Linked DNA regions of Oreochromis niloticus. The protein of the gene in region 1 purifies or fractionates together with the protein of each later gene. This does not show direct contact. Links are inferred from orthologs where the notes say so. Each region holds a gene or a part of one and is shown on either strand. Other genes may lie near its edges. The genes, in order: usp4, rbbp8 and dcp1b.

The links.
Region 2: the proteins of usp4 (region 1) and rbbp8 purify together in Homo sapiens (affinity purification with western blotting; 3 studies listed by BioGRID, with this or other methods). This does not show direct contact. The link is inferred for Oreochromis niloticus from reciprocal best matches to the Homo sapiens genes USP4 and RBBP8.
Region 3: the proteins of usp4 (region 1) and dcp1b purify together in Homo sapiens (co-immunoprecipitation; 3 studies listed by BioGRID and IntAct, with this or other methods). This does not show direct contact. The link is inferred for Oreochromis niloticus from reciprocal best matches to the Homo sapiens genes USP4 and DCP1B.

Annotation. Positions count from the first base shown.
Region 1 is NC_031970.2:22,490,366-22,497,464, reverse strand, and holds the start of usp4 (ubiquitin carboxyl-terminal hydrolase 4), read left to right. Parts: upstream 1-4,097; 5' UTR 4,098-4,207; coding exon 4,208-4,359; intron 4,360-5,619; coding exon 5,620-5,747; intron 5,748-5,905; coding exon 5,906-6,036; intron 6,037-6,123; coding exon 6,124-6,250; intron 6,251-6,344; coding exon 6,345-6,490; intron 6,491-7,099. Other genes in the region: emc3 (ER membrane protein complex subunit 3), read left to right, coding at 118-197, 326-408, 508-636.
Region 2 is NC_031974.2:26,340,781-26,348,411, reverse strand, and holds the start of rbbp8 (DNA endonuclease RBBP8), read right to left. Parts: upstream 3,106-7,631; 5' UTR 2,968-3,105; coding exon 2,965-2,967; intron 2,943-2,964; exon of another isoform or gene 2,860-2,942; intron 2,502-2,859; coding exon 2,375-2,501; intron 2,264-2,374; coding exon 2,221-2,263; intron 2,125-2,220; coding exon 2,029-2,124; intron 1,709-2,028; coding exon 1,617-1,708; intron 1,400-1,616; coding exon 1,327-1,399; intron 99-1,326; coding exon 1-98. Other genes in the region: fam168b (myelin-associated neurite-outgrowth inhibitor), read right to left, coding at 5,165-5,277, 5,361-5,556, 5,642-5,784, 6,092-6,175, 6,280-6,349. UniProt on the Homo sapiens protein: Endonuclease that cooperates with the MRE11-RAD50-NBN (MRN) complex in DNA-end resection, the first step of double-strand break (DSB) repair through the homologous recombination (HR) pathway.
Region 3 is NC_031981.2:10,690,568-10,697,601, reverse strand, and holds the start of dcp1b (mRNA-decapping enzyme 1B), read left to right. Parts: upstream 1-3,953; 5' UTR 3,954-4,209; coding exon 4,210-4,368; intron 4,369-4,724; coding exon 4,725-4,765; intron 4,766-5,714; coding exon 5,715-5,842; intron 5,843-7,034. UniProt on the Homo sapiens protein: May play a role in the degradation of mRNAs, both in normal mRNA turnover and in nonsense-mediated mRNA decay. May remove the 7-methyl guanine cap structure from mRNA molecules, yielding a 5'-phosphorylated mRNA fragment and 7m-GDP.

The DNA.
Region 1 (7,099 bases):
GTAATAGAGCAAGATACTTGGACTCATACTGCACCACTCATTATTTATTGATAGGAAAATGCTTAAGCTAGTGTGTGATGACACTGTGATTTGTTTGCGCTTGTGTGTATTATGCAGGGTGAGCTCAGCATCCTGGTATTTCCTGAACGTGTTTGGACTTCGAAGCATGTACTCTTTAATCCTAGGCCAAGATAACGGTAAGTGGAGTGTTTCACAAAGTTGAAATTGGTTTAAATGTTAAAACGGATAATTAGATTACATCATGTGACTTTAGTGAAAATGTCCACATACTGATTGTGTTTGCTTTGTGTCTGAATGCCCGCAGGCGCAGACCAGTCGAGGATCATGCAGGAGCAGATGAGCGGTGCTGCCATGGCCATGCCTGCAGATACAAATAAAGCTTTCAAAGTATGTGTGTCTATAATTAGTTGAATTAGCTACAGAGGGGTGGAGGTTGGTGGCACGGGGCCTTGGTGATTTAATGTGCTGTTTGTTTTTGATTTTTAGGCTGAGTGGGAGGCACTGGAACTGACTGACCATCAGTGGGCGCTTGAGAATGTAGAGGATGATCTGATGAGCCGGGAGTTGGACTTTGATGGCATGTTCAGCAAGGAGCTGCCAAGCGGTATCTTCTGATGGCCTAATCACTTCCTTTTTGGAGACTCCAATTTCAAATTTGATTATTTCAGGGATTTGTTTTGGGGGGGTTTGTTTTGTTTTTTTGTTGTTGTTGTGTGTGTGGTTTTTTTTGTTTGTTTGTTTGTTTTTTTTTAAAATCTGAAACCACACAACTGGGACAAATCCCTTCATATGCAAAGTTTACATCATCTAATTTGTTGTAGTGGTCTTTTCACATGTATCTACCTTCCATTCCTGTCCATAAATGAACTGAAATGAACACAAATACACTGGTTCTACTGTTGCCTCATGCATAATAGAGAGCTCTGCTTTGTTATTTCAAAGGAAGAAGGGGCTGTTCTAGAGAAATTAAGTGATGTTTTTTTGATTTTTGAAACATGTTCTTGTTGGCTTGAAACTGAATGCAGTCATAATGCCATTAAGTAGTAGAATCTGAACTGCCTAGTGCTTCTTCTTCCTAATGTCATGCACAGCTAGTTAGCTGTCTTCATTTTGTATGTGTCATTTTTAAACAAAATAGTACATAAAACAGTTTTACATTTCAGAATGATCTATATTTAATAATCCTTTAACCATCCGTTATTGCTCATATCTTAGATTGTAGATAGAAGCAGGTCCAGAACAGGTTAGGTTTGTTTGTTTTGTGGCAGGGGAAATGTTGAGTTTTGTCATCAAGATATTGTTTTTGAAGTATGTAGACGGTTTATTTTGTAATTAACTCCCTTGTGTTTTGTACAGTATAAAGTCTGTTTTGATTCAAAATAGTTTTATTTGTTTTCCATGTACACTAACACTTTACTTTTTCAAATATGAAGAAAGAGATGTTTTTGTTTTGTGCTGGGGTTTTTTGTTTTTGTCTTTTTTGTTTCTTTGAATAATAACGATCAGTGTAAGAGAAGAAGCACCACAGCTGAATATTCAAATAATACACATGTCACATTCATCCTCAGTAAAAGATTTGAATAGATACCGTGGACATTAACATTACTCTTTTGTTGTCAGTTTTCCACAATACAGCGTCTACTTCATTTACCTGGGTTAGGATGATTGGTAGTGAGGAAGTGAGTTGAATTTTTTAAAATGGACAAAATGTCAGTTAAAAGTAAGTTTGTTTTTTAATTATACTGCAATCTTGTTTTAACAGCCTGTCAGTCATGTTCACATTAGTAAGTTAAAAAAAAATGCAGGCAAGTGAACAAATGAGTTGAGGAACATGAAGGATGATCATGCTTCCACACAGGTAACATAAGCATCCAATTATGCTCTGTGGAATACAAAGGGGTCCAAAGTGTGCCAAGAAAATATTCCCCACACCATCAACACCAGCCTGAACTGTGGATACAAGGTAGGATGGATTTAGTCAAAATGGCACAAAAGAAAAAAAAAAAGGCTTCGGTGGTGAGTGCTTCAGTCACGAAGACTGCTCAACTGGGCAGTGTTTCAGTAAGAACTGTGACCAAAGTGAAATGTGGATTTCGATCTATAGAAAAGACAAGCGATTAGAGCTGTGAAAAGGCTACATTTCATGACTATGACGCTTAGGGAAAAATGCAGCGTCTATGAATGGAGTCATTTGATCTCATATCACCATGGGCCTTCTGCTTGACCATTTTTGATTGTATGGTACAAAGATTGGGCATATATAATGATTGCTATGAAATATTAACTTCATATATCAAATACATTTCAAGATGTACTTTTCTGAAAAAAATCATCCATTGACCCTCTTCCATAGTTTTTTTTCCCACAATTTGAAATCTAAGGCAATGTTTGAACATGAATATCTCAAATACTAGACAATAAATGGACTAGTTCCCATATAGCGCTTTTCTCCCCTATGTGAGAACCTAAAATGGTAAATGGCCTGTATTTGTATAGCGCTTTACTTAGTCCCTATGGACCCCAAAGCGCTTTACACTACATTCAGTCATCCACCCATTCACACACTTGTGATGGCAAGCTACATTGTAGCCACAGCTGCCCTGGGGCGTACTGACAGAGGCGAGGCTGCGGGACACTGGCACCACCGGGCCCTCTGACCACCACCAGTAGGCAACGGGTGAAGTGTCTTGTCCAAGGACACAACGACTGAGACTGTCGGAGCCGGGGCTCGAACCAGCAACCTTCCGATTACAAAACAAACTGCCAACTCTTGAGCCACGATCGTGAAGAATGCTTTGTTCTTCACCAGGAGAGATTTATAATTGTGTCATTGTCTTCACATATCCTTCTTTTTTCACAATTCCTTCCGCCTTGAGAAGATTCCGCATACCAGAAGAACTGATCCCCACAGCACAATGCTCCTACCACAGTGTTACATGGTGGAGATGGTGTTCTTTGGGTTGTACGCCTCTTACTTCTTCAAACACAAGCAGCATTTCTATGAGCCATGAGCAAAGAGCTCTAGCTTTGTCTCATCTGACTAAAGGATACACTTCCAGTATACAGAGTCTTTCTCCAAGTTGTCTTTAGCATACTTCAGTCTTCAGTCTAGCTTGAAGGTGTCATTCCTGCACAAGTGGAGTTTTTCTTGGTCTGCAACCTCGCAGTCCATTCCTGTGCAGGGTTCTAGTGATTGTCTTCTTTGAGACTACCATTTCTGACTTGGCTCAGTCATTCAGTAATGTCTTGGCAGTTGTTCTTTAGACACATCTCTCACTTGATTTCTTTCCACAGTGTTTGAAATCTTTTGCTTCCTACCTCTGCCAGTACAAGCTCTCACATTTTGCAAGATACATACCTTCATATGCCAGGCTTGTTCTGTACTGTGTGGCAATTTTTGAATTTCTTGACAGAAATCAAGATTGAATTATTTTGCTTTTGGCATGATGCTTTCTCAGGTGGCCGCTCAAATCTTTGCTAAGGTTTTTAATACTATGTGTAAACTGAAAGACAGCCCTCAGTTTTGACTTGATTTTGCAAGCTTTGAGTATTACAGAGTTAAAGCCCGTCATTGCACAACAACGGTTTGTGCTGTGGGTCAATGAAAAGGCCAGTTTTTCAGGGGGCCAATAATACTGACCCTGGTAATAATCCTTTTTTTTCTGAAATAATTTATGCTTTCTAAAGAAAGCTATTATTTTTTACAAATGCTATGTTTTAAACTCCTTGCTATATTAAAAAGAAGCACTTGGAAAAATGTTGACAAAAACTTTTAAATCATAGAGAGGATAATAATTTTATCCTCGTCAGTAATAATAGGTCATTGTTACACAAAAACATTTGCATTTGCTCTCCGTTAAAATTTAGTCTTCTCTTTATTTAACTGCCTGGACGTCTGTTTAACGAGCTCTAAAAACCTATAATGTAAGTGAAAATTATCATCAGATTAGCGAACACAGAGCTGAAGCACAGGAACTGCAAGATCCTTTTTATGGGAAACTTGCTGTCAGTCAGCTGGCATTTGAATGTCTCGTAACTTACCGGTTTAGTAATGCTAGTGACTGAACGCTGGAGTGCAATAGCAGCTCTCCGGGGCTATGCGCCGCCCGTAGAGGAAGAAGGTTTTCTATGAGCCTGTCCCAGTGCGTGTGTTTCAGCGCGTTCACGTTACCGGCACACAGGCTGCATGATGGCCGAGGGAGGCGGACCCGAGTCGGGTAACGCAGCGGACTCCGACTCGGAGCCGGTAGCTGCACAAATACCGACTCCATCAACCGAAAGTCAAAAACAGACTATTGGGTCTCTTTTGAAAACGTCTCTGAAAAAGGGTGACGAATGGTAAGCTAGCGGCCAGTAATACTTGGGTCTTTAGCTATCATTAGCCGACAAACAGGAAGTGTTAGCATGCTAAGCTAGCAAGCTAATGACAGCAATGCTTGTAAGCTTGAACTCGATAGCTGCTGTGCTAATGATATTTTAGCAGGCTAGCACGCTTGCTGCTAGTCAGCCCGACATTTGAATTTCTCTGTTAGTACTAATGCCTGTATTAACAGATATTATTGTTGACGCACACAAGCAAACCAGCTGCCAAGTGACTCATTTGTACATTAATTAGTGCCTGTTTTGTGATAAGTTGAGCGGCTTTAGCAGTCGTGGTAGCTAGTGGGCTGTCAGAATAACTAAGGCCCTGGATTCAGATTGTAGTTTCATTTTCCAGTGAAACCGTGTTGTTGTCAGTTACGGGATGATGAGGAAATGGGCCCGCTGACAGAATTAATGTGAGAAGTAGTTACCTGCTTGTCATAACATACCATTTTAAGCCGTGTGATATTCCCCTTACCCGGCAAGCCACCTGTGTTAGCTAACATAGTTTCAGACCATTAACACTGCCCAGGCCTGGGCATAATGCAGCCGGTGTACTAAAGAGGCTTCACCTCAGCCAGTAAACACAACACCACAGACATGTGAGATGGGCAAGCGTCCCCGTTAATCTCATTTGTTAATAGAAGTGGGTGCCAAATGACCAGGTCACGTTCATTCTTGCAGCCACTAGCTGCAAAGCTAACCTGTTTTTCTGGAGTTATTTAAATGACTCGGCCCTTCCATTTATGGTATTGTTAAAATGGAACTACTATCCCGTGGTATTTATTTCCAGGAGCCTTAAACACTGTCAGGCATAGCTTGGCAAAACTAATCTCGGGATAAGATCATGCACCTGTTTGTTTGACACTTTGAAGCCCATTAATTTATAGTGTTGACACGAAAGAGCCATTGTCCAGCTTTTTGAATTAGCATTTGAATGGTTGTTGCAGTGTGGATACAAGCTTATTAACCAAAGGAGATTCTTTAGATGAGATTAAGTCAAACTAGCTTGCAGTTACTATAAATGCCAAGGCAGTTTGGTATTGCATAATCTTCTGGGAAAGTGTAGGGCTGTGTGCCCTTTTATACCATACCTTTTAGAATCTCTTGACCCTTTTTTATGCTGGGGGAAGAAATCCTTTACGAGATATAAATGCTAAAGCTTTTAAGGGGAAAAGAGCATCTTCCAACGAGTGATATGTTTTTCTTTAACTGTGACTGATCAATTTGTTTTAGGTATCTAATAGACAGCCGGTGGTTCAAACAGTGGAAGAAGTATGTGGGGTTTGACAGCTGGGATATGTACAATGTTGGAGAACGAAGCCTCTATCCAGGACCAATTGATAACTCTGGCCTGTTCTCAGGTAAAATTGTCATTTTAAAACGAATCCCCTAATGGACTGCTGTTGATTTTGCTTGAACAATATAAGTTCCACATAGAAATAAAAAAACAAAACAAAAAAAATTTAGTTCCTTAGCTTATACTTATGTTTGTTTGTTTTTTTTCTTTTTCTCCTTAAAGACCAGGAGACTCAAGCCCTGAAAGAGCACCTTATAGATGAGCTAGATTATGTCCTAGTACCTACTGAGGCATGGAATAAGCTAGTCAGCTGGTATGGCTGCCTTGAGGGCCAGAGACCTATCGTCAGGAAGGTAAGGCTGTTAAAGATATTCTTAATTTTAGCCATGTACCAGGGTGCGTGGACTGGGCTTCCAAATGTCTCTTTTTTTTTTCTCTAGGTCGTTGAACATGGTATGTTTGTCAAGCACTGTAAAGTGGAGGTGTATTTGCTGGAGCTGAACTTGTGTGAGAATGACAATATGGACAATGTTGTTACACGTCATTTCAGTAAAGCTGATACTATAGGTGAGCATCCACATGTGTCATTTATGGGTTTGTGTTTGCTGAATAAAACTATTTGACTCTCCATGCTTATTTATCAAACTTTTCTCATTTTTAGACACTATAGAGAAGGAGATGAGAACACTGTTCAATATCCCATCAGAAGAAGAGACCAGGCTCTGGAACAAATACATGAGCAATACGTACGAGCAGCTGAACAAGCCAGACAGCACCGTACAGGATGCTGGTCTTTTCCAGGGACAGGTAGTGCTATTCAAATAAGATTGAGATTATTGTTTGACTACAGCTCAATAATAAACTGATCCTCACTCATGTACATAATTCATTTGCAGGCACTGAAAAGAATAACAAAAACACCAGAGAGCCTACTGCCGTGTAGTACATTAGCACTGCAATAACATTTGTTTAGGTTGTATTAATGTGTAAGTGTTGCTGCAGGGAGATCAGGTTATGATTCAGCTATGTGGTTGTTTTTAATTTTGACATTGTGCTGCAAAGATAATGTATGCTGTTTATTTTATTTGCCCTTTACATTAATATATTTTAGTAGGAAGGAAAAGCACCTCTTAGTATATGAGACTGAGGTGGTGATTGGAGACTGCTAGTTTGAATTAGGTGTCTGTGTGTTATATTCACAATCTAGGTTAGAGAAGATGAAGGCATTAATTAACTTCATTTATCACAGCAGCCACTGAAATCCAGATCAGTCATAGCAGCTTTCAAATTAGACGAAAAATACAATGTATTAGAATAAAGAAACATTAAAGAATAACAATAAAGAAACGTTTGGTGGCATTTGCCATTTGAGTATTAAACTCGAGCCTGAGATGTGAAAAGTCATGCATGAAATTC
Region 2 (7,631 bases), on another chromosome or scaffold:
TCAATCTGTTTACCACAGGCAGTGAACTGGGCAAGATTGGGGAGTCTGGAATAACACCCTCTTCCTGTTCTGGGGGTGAGGCTTCCTTGGATTCAGACCTGAAAAGAAAAGCACACGTGTAGTGCTTCACTGGAAACTGAAACTTTAAAACTTACCGAACCTGTAGGAGGGAAATTTATTTTCCCAAGGGGCCACAGAAGAAACTGGGGCTGTTAGCACCAAAAAGCTTATAAACACGTAAAAATAATAATACTGAGTGGCAGCTTGGGAAAATGTATTGTTCACTCCTGAAATGTCTGACCAATGTAGGTGACACACATTTTTATAGAAGTTTTAATTCAAGAGGTTTAACAAAAGTATTGTACTGTTTACAGCTATTTGCAGGAATCATAACACAGCCCCCCATTTTAAATATTTAAAATCTATTTAGTAACTTTTCAGTGAAACTTTTAATATGAGGTTAAAAAAATTAATTAATTAATTAAAATCTGGGCGCAAATGGAAGAAGCCATAAAAACAAAAACCTATCGGAGCAGTAGAATAAACTTGCATTTGTAAAAAGAATAAATGCACAAACCAGGCTCGGCAACACCAAAACACATGAAAGACTACTGAAGACATCTTAAGTACATGAGCGCAGTGGATGATTGGCTAAGAAAAACCTGTTCACAATATCTAACCAAATCAAGAACAGTCCCTGTGAGACAGACGTATCAATGTCAGGAGACACCTTCATGAGTAGACTGCACAATGCTCAGAAACTGTAAAAAAAACCCAAAAAACCCCCCAATAAAATAAGAAAGCAGGGGTTACATCTCAGACTCCACAGGTCTCAGTGTGTGAATGTTAAAGTTCATGACAGTACAGTCAGAAAAAGATGAACAGGGATGACTCATTTTCAGGAGAAAGCTGCTTCTCTCTAAAAAGAACATGACAGTATAGCTAGCTTACGCTCATAAACAAACCACAAGACCTCTGGAACAGATGAGACCAAGTCATCCTAGAGCTCCTCTGTATACCAAAGTATAAGTCATCCATCTGACAGCTAAAGCTTGACAATAACTGGCTCATGCAACAAGACAATGATCTGAATCAAACCAGCAAATCTACATTCAACAGAGTGGCTGAAAAACAGAAGAGTCAGGGTGTTGTGCAATGGCCCGGTCAAAATCCAGACCTCAATGCAAGTCTGTAAAGAGTAGTCAAACTTCCTCCATGATGCGAGATACTGATAAACTTGAAAGTACTTCAAGTTATTGCTTTAACCTTTTAAAACATTTCTCATATTTTTCTTGTGAACAAAAACATGAATGCAACACAGCTTACCGAGAACTCTTCAGTTTTTGCAGCTCAGCTCGCAGCTTATCGTTTTCATCCTCCAGCAGGTTTCTTTCATTTTCTGAGGAAAAAAGGTTTGCAAAGAAAATGTTTTTCTCTGTTCTTAAACAAACTGAGAATCTTAAAGAAATGTTGTTTTGTTTTTTCCCCACAGTCATTCTAGTATATTAGTCGTCATATTATATAACATACTATTGTTGTGAAAGATTGCATCTGCATATGTGTATGCACATCAGGGAGGGCTATTAATGGTTGGACACTGAAATGAAAACACTCACTAAGTTTCTCGATAAGATGCAGATTCTGCTGCTGACTGTTTTTCAGGTTCTCCTCTAAGATGGAGCATCGATCACACTCTGCTGCTCGAAGCCTGGAAAGGGAAAGCACAGCTGGCAATCTTTATATTTCATATTGTTTTAATGCAAGACACTAAATGCTGTGAACTTTCAGTCTGCGGGGAATCTGAAGCATCCATGCAATGAATCAGAAAAGGCTATTCTTGTCTTTGGTATCATGTTGCTCCAGTTAATTAGAAATCCCACATCGGTGCCCAACTGCAGCTCTCCCATCCTAAGTTATAGTTAAAATGTAACAGAGGTTCAACAAGACACATCTATTCCAAACAAACAAACGAAAACATTTGCTACAAAGGGAATAACAGTGGAGTGCATTCATCTTTGGGTAATTTACCTTTCCTCCAGGAGAGCCATGTCATCCTGCAGGTTTTTATTTTGCTCCTTGAGCTGCTGGTTGCGATTGTAAAACACTTCAAGCCTCTGCGCATCTCTGTAGAGGACAAACACATCACTTTACCCTTCATAAATAATTTACTAAGACTCCAGTGTCCTTCTCCTTAAACACAAAGTGACACAACATACTCACAGGCAACGTTCCTTTTTCAGCTTGCTTACTTTTGCTTCCAATTCTAGAAACAGCAACAAGTGCAATGATGACATGTGTTGTCATTTAGCTTCTGAACTTCGGATTATAGACATGAAAGCCAGCATGAACGTGGTGAGATCAAACTGTCAGTTACCCTGAAGTGCATTTTGGTGACACTCTCCAAGCTGCCTCCACAAGTCTTGAAAGCGATCAGCTGATTTGGCTGTCCCGCTGCTCCTGTCGTTTCCAAAACTCTCTGTAAGCGCCTCTCTGCTCTCTTCCTGCCAACGCAAATCAGCAGTCTTTGTTTTCATGTTTGCCTCACAATAATAAATTCCTTCTTTCAGCTCACTTTAGTGTTTCTTAATGTTAATTCGCATTTGTCAATGTGAGCACGGGAAGTTAAATGTTTGACTACTTTAGCTTTGCTACATGGCGGCGCGCATAAACTCAGTGCTAATTAGCTAAAAAGAAAATTACTTTCACCCCCTCAACACTCACATATTTACTACTTATTATTTATTGGCTTTTAGAACAAGCATTAATAAAACTTCAGCTCTGTCTTTTGGCTTGTTCTCCCAGTAACCACTTAGACTACAATTAAGAAATAAATGCAAAGTTTAGACTTAATGACACGACCTCATGAGAAGACAGCCGCGAACAGACTCAGACTTACACCGACACGTCTAAAGAATAAAAACTAGGATATTCTGTCAAAGAGAAAATAGTTTAACAGTACAGTACCATGTTTGAGCGATACAGTCTACGGCTTGACCATAACAAAATCCAAATTCGCGCGCCGAACTGCAACCTGGGAAATCTTCTTCTTCGTTTTCCAATTTAGGTAGGAAAGCTTTGACGCCATCCTCTGTTAAACAGCAGCCAGTGGTTTATACTGCTACTTCTCTAACCCTAAACAATTAACAACAACAATAATAATGATAATAGTTAAAATTTTGTTTTATGAAATTAAGTTACAGAAAGTTGTTTGACTTGACCTCAATTACCAATGAGTAACTTTAAGAATAAAATGTCTAAAATCTATAATACTATATAGAGCAGAGCCATGGGGACTAGAGTACAATATCATAATCAGTACTGTGTAAAAGTCCTGAGTGTTTCTTTATATTTTGAGTTCCAGGTTTGAAATAGAAATTTTTTCCACCGACAAGGTGATTCCCAAAGAGCCATTACCTGAAAATTTGGCATGCCATGTGGGCGTAAAAAAACAATGGTCATGCCAAATATTGCCTTTCAAACCGGTTTGAATCGTCCAACATATTATATATTTTGTTTCATGTTCTTCTTTGTTTTGTCATCATTTCTGGCTGCCCCAACACACCCAGCGAGAAGACATGCACAACACAGGTTATTCTTATATTTGTTTTTATTTTTGGTCTTTCTTTAGAATACAAAACAGCAACCAAAGTCACAAAAATAACATTTACAAAACATGTTTAACTGAGGTGACCGAGGCAACATAGAAAAGCATGTCTGAAACAGTGACATTGGTGGATTTTTAGCCTGGAGACTTGAGGTAAGACAGCGAGCGATGTCGGAAAAGGTCAAATATCTTTTACAAACCGTTTGGAATTAGTGCCTTCATTCAGTAGTGCTATTCACAAATGGAGTTTAATATCATTACGGTGCCCTAACATGTCCACATTTAGCGGTGATTTAATGATGTAGTGCTTCAAATCTGCCTAAGAGTAAATTCATTAGAGTGACATGTAAGTCTAAAATTCTAAGCATGTTGCACTGTATGGCACCATTCAGAATGGTTTCCGTTCGAGTCCCGTTTTCACACACACACGCGCACACAGACACACACACACACTTCCTGCTCATCCACTCTTATTAAATGGGTGCAATTGACTTCTAATAACTTCCTATACTTGTTCCCCACCAAGAACACTTCTGGCTAAAATAAGTGAATACATCATATATCACCCAAGCAGGAGCAGCTTCAGACTTTTGGGGGGGGGGGGAGAAAGAAACTGAAACACCATTTGTTTAAATGAAAAAAAAAGTAAGTTTAACAGGCCAGAAAAAGTAAAAGTGTTGGATTGGCCACCAGTCACAGAGGCACAAACTCAAAGTCCCATCTTTTGTTCCTACAATACAAAAATGGTAAGACATTATGCAAACACTGCATCACTGAAAGAAAACGATAAAAACCACTTACCTAAACACAAAGCGGTGAAAAATAGTACAGTTTGGCCCGCGATGGACGGCGCAGGTATGTTTTTGCATGAATAAACGTTTCTTGTCTTTTTTTTCTTTCACATTTAAGACATAGTCACTGGTGATTCAGCATTGCAGATTATTACTCTTTTTTTCTAAGTTCCTTTGGATTTGTGCCTTTTATTGAATTTGCATCTGTCACAGCAGGGAGAATTGAGCTAGCATTACTTTGTAAATCTATATATACACATGCATTCAACATCATATTTAATCCCCCAAATTAAAGGAAAAAAAAAACTATTCCAAACTCCCTTTTCACTACATAAGAATTTAAGCTATAAAAACCTGCATGAGAGTCCACATAGAGTTTGCATGGAGGCTTTGCAGTTTGACGTGAGATATGCAGCAGGTTTGTAGAGGTGCTGGCGCTGAGGGGGTGGGGGCGTGGGGGTATGGAATGCAGCCTTATTCCATTAATAGGGGTTGTGGGGATGGGCCTATTTGTCACCCCCTGCTTATCCAAATGGGACTCTATGTAGTTGGGTTTTAGATTCACATTATGCTGGAAGAAGAAGAATTGGTAGCGGACGCTGCCAGGGCGGGGCAGGTCGTCACCACGAGAGAAAAACACTGGAGTGTGAATGCATATCTACCATCTTCCGGACCTGCAGAGAGAACACCGGGTGTAAACATAAACCTTTAATCTGCACCTTTGACCAAACTTGTGATCCTTTTAAAACATACTCACGCTTCTCTCTCTTCACCACTGCGGGGGCACGTAGCTGTAGCTGGGTGTGCCAGGAGGCCGATATGTGGGCATCGTGACTGGGTGGGGAGCGACGGGCGCTGGCGATGGAGTTGTCAACAAAGTTCCTGAGAAGTGAAAGCCACAGGTATAACTACAAATCGAACACATTTGTATCCTGGATAAGAATCAATAAACCGCTGCAGCTCACCAGCTGACATGGCCATAGTGGTGCCGGCTACCATGCCCATGGCAACACCATTGTTGCGAGGAGGGATAGGCGGAGCATACATTGCTGCAGGCATCCCATTGGGCTGGACCACTGTCGTGTGATGGATGACATGAGGCGGTGGAGCATACAGAGCCTGTGTGTAGTAAGGGCCTTGTTGTTGTGAAGGTATTAGTGCCTGGTGGACAAACAACCACACGTTACAGCTCAAGCATTGAACCAGGATGAAGAGAGACGGCGTGTTATTAAAAGCGAGGACTGACCTGTGCATAAGGGTTCTGTTGGGGGTAGGTGCTCCTGACAGGGTACACAGCAGTTGGGTAGGGGTTTGGGGAGGAGGAGTATGGTGGGACGGTCCCTGTGCTGGGAGAGCAGGACACTTTGAAAGGAGCGCTTGGAGCATAGCCTGGAGAGGGAGGAAGACGGCTCACATTAGTGCCGTTTGCTTTGGGACAAAATAGCTGAAGTCTGCGTAGAAACACTGGCTGTGCAGCTCAGTAAAACAGGACCCTCATAGAAAAGAAGCACACACACTTTTTGGGGCTATTAAGAGTCTCTTTGGAACTTTTATTCTTTATTACGTTATATTTATAATTAATTCAAATAAAAGAAGTCCGCTGTAACCGTTTGACTCTTTTGAAGTGCATCAGGAAGATGTGTTTCAAGACCTATCAGATAAACTCCAGCAGATTTCAGCGTTACTTTCTTCTCACCATTAGGGAAGCCTGGGTTTGCTCCTGCGTAGACGTTGGGAGTGTACACTGGAGCAGCTGCTGCGTATCCTAGAGGAAATCCAGCTGCCAAAACCAGAAACAAAACAAGAATATAACAGTATTCTCAATGCTGGGAGATATTTTCTTGTAATTATGCTTGTTTCTTAAACCACTATGCTTCAGGTTACCTGGATAACCTATACCCTTAGTGTTGGTAAAGGGGACCCCTGTTGGTGCAGGGCTGTATACTGGGTTCATTGTGGCTGTCTAATTGCAGATGCTGTAAATAAGAGAAGCACAAACAGGTTGGAACGATGCAAACATCATGCGTGGAAATCAACTGCTGATCTGTGAGCCAGCAGAGCTCTTGTGGAAAGGATGGACATGCTAATATGAAGTTTTCTGTTGTTGTCGATTGTGACCCTGTTGTTCCAGAAACAGCACAGTGATTGTGAAAAGATTCCTCAGAAGGTTTAAACAAAACCTTCAGTTTGGCTTTCAGAAATCTTAAGCATGTAAACTGGTTTGGTGTGTGTTCTTTGGAGCTTAGACTTTGACATACTGTCCATTTATTAGACTGCTGTTACTGTAGCTTCGTCACATTTCATTACATTTATATTTCATCACATGTGCCAAACTACCACTGTTACCTAACGACACAGCTAAAAGGGACCACAAATAATAACCGTTCTCCCTCAGTGAAGACTGACAGCGGTCTGCATGAGATGACCTTGCAAGGTCACGGTAACAACAAAGCGAAGACCAGACTAATAAGCATTTTCTGATACTGTGTGCTGACATGCACCTATTACAGTTGTATTGGCATTACTATATATTCTGTTTGATATTAAACATAACACAGAGAAGGTGCTTGCACTATTTTTAAAAATGGTGTCAACATGGTTCCCAATGCTCTCAGCACTGTCTAAAGCAGAAAGAGAGACGAGCGCAAATAGTCTCTACACAATGTTCGTGAGCAGTTTGTGAAAGACATTTTTGGAAAATTAATACACTCAGCTAGACCTTTGATTTTGCATTTTTGATGCCATTCTGTTGTTCGGGGCAAACCTTAAATTTAACAAGGTGCTATAAACATTCCTCAGAGATGTTACTCCACATTAACATGATGCTATCTCCTCCTCTTCCTCCTACCATGGGGTCTAGATCATGAGTTGGCTGTGCTCTTGGCCTCTAGAATTCCCTCCCAGCAAATATCCATATCCCTAACTCTCTCTCGCATCAGAACATCTCTTTAAACCGTGTGTAAGGTGACCTTGAGTGTTTTGAAAGGCGTCTGAAACAAAATGCATCATTATTGTTATTACATTTTACAGCTTTCTTAGCGAATTTCCCGAAGAAACCTTGACTTTTGCTTCCCATGACGGTGGCTGGGTTGAGTTTAATGCATCTGTGCTTCCACCTAGCGGTAGCTAAAAAACGTGAGCATGAAAAACAAAAACACATAAAACCCTTCCACCTCGTTACAACGTGCTCATGAATGGACTCTGGTAAATATAAATTCACAATTACACTTACACGG
Region 3 (7,034 bases), on another chromosome or scaffold:
GTCAAACACTTCCTTTAAAACTCATTTGAATTGTTCACACTCTGTTATTGCCTTACATACTATATTTCTATGTATGTTTGCACATGTTTCAGTAAATCACTGCACCAATTTTCCTAGAAAAATATAAATAAATGAGTGGTGATTCAAGACTTTTGCATGGTACTGTATAAACTCAAGTTTTTATATTTAAAGTCTAATGAGGACCTAAAATGTAATGTCTGCAAGTATCTAGATGTATGGCTGAAGGTAGTCCCAGATTGAACGATGAAGGAAGGCTCATTCAGTCATTGTGCTCTTTATCTCACCTCCAAAGATATTCCATTAAAATAATAAACGATACAGTCAAATGAAAAAGAGCGTTTTCACTGGACTCTATGCAGACTTGTGAAAAACAAAGTACACCCTCGTCTTGATGCATTCTCAATCATCCAGGTAAGTAAATCTCCAAAGGTTGATTCTGTTCATCTGGACGTAGCGTTTTCAGTGGGAGAAACATTTCGTCACTCATCCAAGTGACTTCTTCAGTCTCAGCTGACTGCAGGTTTCCCCACTGCTTTCACGGGAATCAAGAAGATAAGTAGCAGCCAGATGCTGCTAGTCAGATGCACCTAATTAATTTATCATTAGCAAGTATGAGCACCTGTGTAGAAGCAGAGGTCAGATCATTCATTGCTTAGAGAAACTGCAAACCCAAGAGCTAAATCTTAGCTTCCACAGGCTTTAGTTAGTACATTAAATGTTAAGGTTTACGACAGTACAGTTAGAAAAAGACTGAACAAGTGTGGCTAATTTGGAAGGGTTACCAGGAGAAAGCCTCTAAAAACATGGCAGGGGTGCCACTTTAGCTCAGTGGGTGAGCAAGTGACCACATGCAACATGGTCAGAGCGCAGTGACCTGGGTTCAAGCCTGACCTGGAGCCCTTTGCTGTGTCTCCTCCCCTCTCTTTCTCCCCAGCTTCCTGTCTATCTTCACTGCTACACTATCTAATAAAGGCAAAAGTCCTGCCCCCCAAAAAACAAAAACGTTTAGGCCTGAACAAACCACAAAACTTCTAAAACAATCTGCTTTGTGTAGACAAGATCAAAGTGGAGATTTTTGGCCATAATGTACAGCTCTATGTTTAGAGAAAAGCAAACAGCATATCAGCACAAACACCTCATACCAGCTGTCCAGCATGTTGGTGGAGGAGTGATGATTTGAGCTTGTTTTGTAGCCTCTGGACCTGCACACCTTGCAGTCATTAAATTCCTCTGTATACCAAAGCATTCTTGAGTGGAATGTGAGGCCATCAGTCTGACAGCTAAAGCTTGGCTGAAATCGGGTCGTGCAACAGGACAATGCCAAGTGCACCAGCAAATCTACAACAGAATGGCTGGAAAATAAAACAATCTAGGTGTGGCAATGACCCAGCCAAAGTCCAGACTTCAGCCTGATTGAAATGCTGTGGTGGGACCTTAAGACAGCTGTGCATAAACAAATGTCTGCAAACCTCAATGAAATGAAGCAACATTGTAAAGAAGATTGGGCCAAAATTCCTCTACAATGATGTGAGAGCCTGTAAGGTCCTACAGAAAATGATTACAGGAGTTATTGGTGCTGAAGGGGGTTCTACAAACTATTGAATAATAAGGTGTCTTTTATTTTAACAGGAGTACTTTTAATACTTTTAAACATGTACATATAACAGTGTTTTTACATTATGTTACTATTTTTTCTTTTCAGCAAACATCAGTTTGCATTTCATTTAATATGTTGATAAATTATTTAGTTTTTCATCTTTCAATGTGTCTAGTACAGTATAGCACAGTGGGCATATAGACAATTTTTACACTTTGGAAGCTCAAATTAAAACACAACACCCCAGAAACCAATGCTTATCCAAATCTTGCTATTCCAACACTCTGTCCACCGGATAAATCCATGCATCATTTCTGCCTGGGAGCCAATGATGAGCATCTCATGGTGTGTCCCCACTAGTCCACCACTAAAGACATCTATTCAGTCTTGACTGATTATCGGCAGTATTGACCTGCTGATGGATAAGTCATTAGCCTCATCATTTACCAACTCACACCCTGAACAAACAGATAAATAACACCCTGACACACGTGCATGTGCGCCTTGAAACACACACAGCACTAAATCTCTGACAAATAGGCTCATGCTAAATCACCAGGAGGTGCATGTCTTGGCCTGACCTGGAAGTGTTTCATTCATATTTAAGAGCAGGATTTGTGTACAGCCTTGGCGTGGTGAACCCTTCACCACGCCAAGGCTGGTGAAGGGTTATTGGGCTGAGTGAATAGCTGGATGTTTTTCTTTTTTAAATTGTTTTTCTCAAGGACACTCTGATATAGCTCTTGATGGATGTGTGTCAACTGTTTTACATTTCAGACTTGTGCCAGGTTTAATTACTGAAGCAACTGTTAGCATACCACTGTTACACTAATGAGAAGAAGTGCCTATATAAAGCTAAACAGTAATTTAGTGATGAAGAGCTTCTCTGTGATTTCAAGTCTAATGGACACAGTGATTGCACAAGACGTAATGCTCTATCAGAAGGAAGAAGAGGAACAAGGCCGGGCTCATATGTTCACTTGAAGAGTTTGCTATGCCTGCTCAAGCACCCTTGAAACAGAACAGAATGTGTTGAACTGAATATAGAGATTCATTGTCAGGTGATATTGTCTGATATGGCAATTGCTGAGATGAATTTCAAGAACTTACAGTCCTGAAAGTCCTGTTCCTGTATCAGTTACTGTCCTGTCCTTGAGTATTAATTTCAGGAAGGATGTGTCTCATTTCTGAAGCCTAGAGCTGGTAGATAATGTAAACCAAAAAGAAGGGGGAAAAAACAGTTTGAAATGACCTAGGAATAAGGGAAAAGAGATTTTCGCATAACAGTGGGATAAAAAAAATGAAATCCTTTAATATGCCTGACAAATGTTCACTGTAACTGTCAACTTTGTAAAACTTCACTAAGTAGGCTATCTTAACTGGGTCCAACAAGACACTAAAAGGCTTTCAAGAAAAGGCTGTCTTTGCCCTTCTTCTCTCCTCTTTATCATTCCTTATTGAGCACAAATGGCCGAAAAACTCCTGATGTGACTCAGGGCCAGAAAAAAAAAATGCAATTAAGAAAAATATATCACGACACTGAGATAGAGGTTACTTTCTTATGAAACTGAAATCTTTTAAGATGGATAGATGTCCATTTTAGAATATAAGTGGTTTTGCTTCTGACTGCTTGTGTCTGCTCTTCTTTTTATGTAGACAATAAGACATTAAACGCATTTGCAGTGTAAGCCTTCTTACAAATACGTCTGTGTGTATTCTTCCTTTGCATTTAGATCAAGTCCAGCTCTTGCAATGAAATGGGAAAGGATGGATGCCCGATTTAGCCATCCCTTTGGCGCCTCCTAGTGCATTTGAGGGGTGGTGTCACAGAGGATTGGGTGCAATCAGTCTTTATCAGTGTAATATAGCCTACTTAAAAGAGAGGTGGATGACAGAAGAGAAACATCAGCTGCTTACTTTTAGGACACACACACAATTAATATAGCATGAAACAAGATAGCTTTAAATTAAAAAAAAAATACTAAGGAGCCCCCAATCTGCAGCAAAATATAGTTTCTTTCTCTCTCACACACACACTCACACTACAAAACATTACCATTATTAACACATTACAATGCCGTTAATATATATAGACAATATAAAAAATGAGCAAGCCCGTTTGAAATAACATTACCTCATCTGACGTCAGTAGTGTGTACTGATGACAGAGTTATAATTAAATGAATGCTACCTTCAGCTACAGAGCATAATGTACATATTGATTTAATCATGGACGGTATGTATAAGGAAATATATAGGAAATTCCGTGCAGTTGATTACAGGACAGCTCCATCGATTTCTCGAAGTTGATTGTTAAGGCTGAAATCTCCAACTGCTGCGCAACTAGTCACGTCTTCGTTGTTTACAATCTCGGTGAAATATGGCCATTTTCAAACTCACTCGTAGCAGTTACAGCTAGGGAGCGCTTGACTTAGTTTTATAATTATCAATTTTTAACTTGAAAAATAGAATACTGTACAGCCATCGATTTAACTCCCTTTACCTTTCCGTTTATTTGGATTTTACCTCTTCTTACTGTGAGTCGGTAGCCGCTAAAGCTAGTTGACAAGCTAGCGTCTCCATAGGGAACAATGACAGCGACTTCAGCAGGTAGCAGTGGCTCTCTTGCCGCTAAAGGACTGGATATAAGTCTGGCTGCTCTGCAGCGACAAGACCCATACATCAATAACATTGTGGACCTGGCGAGTCAAGTTGCCCTGTATACTTATAACAACAGGACAAATGAGTGGGTAAGCCGGAGGGTTGGTGAATGTGTCGTGTGCTAACTTAGCTTTGTCACTGCCCGTTCGGCGCGCTTTGACAGATTGAAACTTACTCAACTTACAAGAGACTATTGTAATTAACGTTATTTTCCATAAAAAATAAAAATTGTTGTTGCTATGTTATGTTTTACTTCACATTATATTTGGAGACTTCCCTTAAATGTGCTATTTTGACTTTTTTGTCACCTACAAAAAGTCAAAATACTGGACTTCTTTTTGAAAGAATAGCGAGCAGGTGCACAAGTTAATATCAACAGAGATAAGGTTGAGCAATTATGAAATGGAGTTGATTTAATTGATTTTGTTGTCTTTTTTGTTTTAAGGAGAAGACAGAAGTGGAAGGTACTCTTTTTATTTATACAAGGTAATGAAAATGCCAACACTGTTATTAGACAATAGACTTTATATATATATGTTTATGTGTAACATTTTCCTATTGTTCCCTATTGAAAGTAAAATCTTGTCATTTGTGACACATTTACTAAATTAAAAACTGTGAAGCTGGCATGAATGGGACGTAACAAAACTGAACTGAGTTTGATAATGTACAAAACTATAATAATATGTAATGTGACCTCTATAAAAGCAAAAGTTTTGGCAGTGCAGCAATGCTCAGGGAAACTGCAAGGTTACCAAGAGAAAGTCTCTTTTCTTTTAAAAGAACATAGCAGCACAGCTTAGGTTTGCAAAGCTGCATCTGAATAAACCACAAGAATCCTGTCCTTTTCAGAAATGAGGCAAAAGTGGAGCTGGACAGAGCCGAGAAAACCAAACTCAGCATATCAGAACAAACACATCATACCAGCTGTCGAGCACGGTGGTGGAGGGTTGGTGATTTAGGCTTGTTTTGCAGGGACAGGACCTGGATACCTTGTAGTAATTGAGCCTACCAAGAAGATCAGATCTGGGGCCATCTGTTTGACATCTAATGCTTGGCTGAAATTGGGTCATGCAAGATGACAATAATCCCAAGCATAGCAGCAAATCTGCAACAGAATGACTGAAAAAGAAACTAATGAAGGTGGTGCAGTGACCCAGTCAAAGTCCAGACCTCAATCTCATGACTGAAAATCTGTGGTGGAACCTTAAGAGAGCTGCACATAAATGAATGCCTGCAAACCTCAATGAAATGAAGCTCCACTGTAAAGCAGAGTGGGCCAAAATTCCTCCACAATGATGTGAGAGACTGATAAAGTGAGACAGTGAAATTATTATTACTGCTGACGGTGGTTCTGCAAGCTACGTGACCAACTTAGTTTTTCCACAGGACTACATAGAATATGACACTATATTCTGCTGTCTTTAAATTTCAGGTTGGCCTCTCCTAGGCATGGTTTTACCATTATGAACCGGCTCAGCATGCAGAATCTGACAGAGCCACTCACCAAAGACCTGGACTTCCAGCTCCAGGACCCGTTCCTGCTTTACCGCAACGCACGATGTAAGGAGAAACTGACTGAATACACTGCAGTGATTTAATGCCATGTGAACTGTGCTTTCTTACTGCTAGTGTTTTGTACCGTCACACCTAAAGGGGAAGTAAAGTATTTTACCTAAACTTCTGAAGATTAGTCAATTCAAAGACTTTATCAAAGACTCTGTATCGTTTGAAATGTTTATACTAAAAAAAGACAACTGCATCGATATCCACAAGATATTGATGTAAAAGATGATAACATGATAAAAGTGCCCAAAGAGTCCAGCATGCACTTCATTTAAGTAGGAACTAGTAATTCCATATAAGGAACTAAGCTAAGGTACTCCAGTGAATTTTATCAGGCTGACTCCGAGACCTACATATGGCTCCTACATACACAAACACATTGTTGAGTGTGGCTCTGGGACAAGAGTCTGACAGCACTACAAAATCAGCCAGCGGAGATTAGATACGCTGCAACTGTCACTGATAATCTAAACACACATACATACACTCACTCACTCAGAAGTCGCTGGCACACACAGACCTCCCTCCCTGCCTCGGTCTCCCTCCATCAGGCTTAGTAAATGGCAGGTGGAATGCTGTGTTTAGATACCACTGAATTCCTTGTGCCTGCTTTGATCCTCTTACTGTAGTGCTTCATTTTTCTTACTGACACAAAGCCATTATTAAACATCCTGAAGGCTCAGAGAAATGATGTGTCTGGCATAAACTTTGCTCAGTGACCTCATTACACCTTTTACACCAGCCTTAAATGCACTCGGGGTGCATTAAAGATGATCTGTGATTGCGCTGGCCTGTGGTCAGAGCATCAGTAATGGCGAATAAATCTAAAGTGAGCTAACAGGCTTATCCATGGAAGGAACAAACTTTAACAGCATATAAAACTAGTAATCAAAACACAGTTAATGATGGTTTCCTCTGATAAAATGCAATTATGGGGAGGAGTTATGACTCAAAGAGTGGGTGGTTACATGGCAAACCTAATGGTCTACCCTAATGACTCTATTTGATTACGATGATTGAATAAAGATGATAAAATATCAGAAAAGGAGCTATGCAAAAGACTGAAATAGTAGCAGAAATAAACAATGGTATTAAAACAACCAGACAAACCACACCTCAGATGCTGTGAAAAACCTCTCAAGTTCAGCATGACTAAGCCAACATTCACTGAGCGGTTCCAGGATGATGG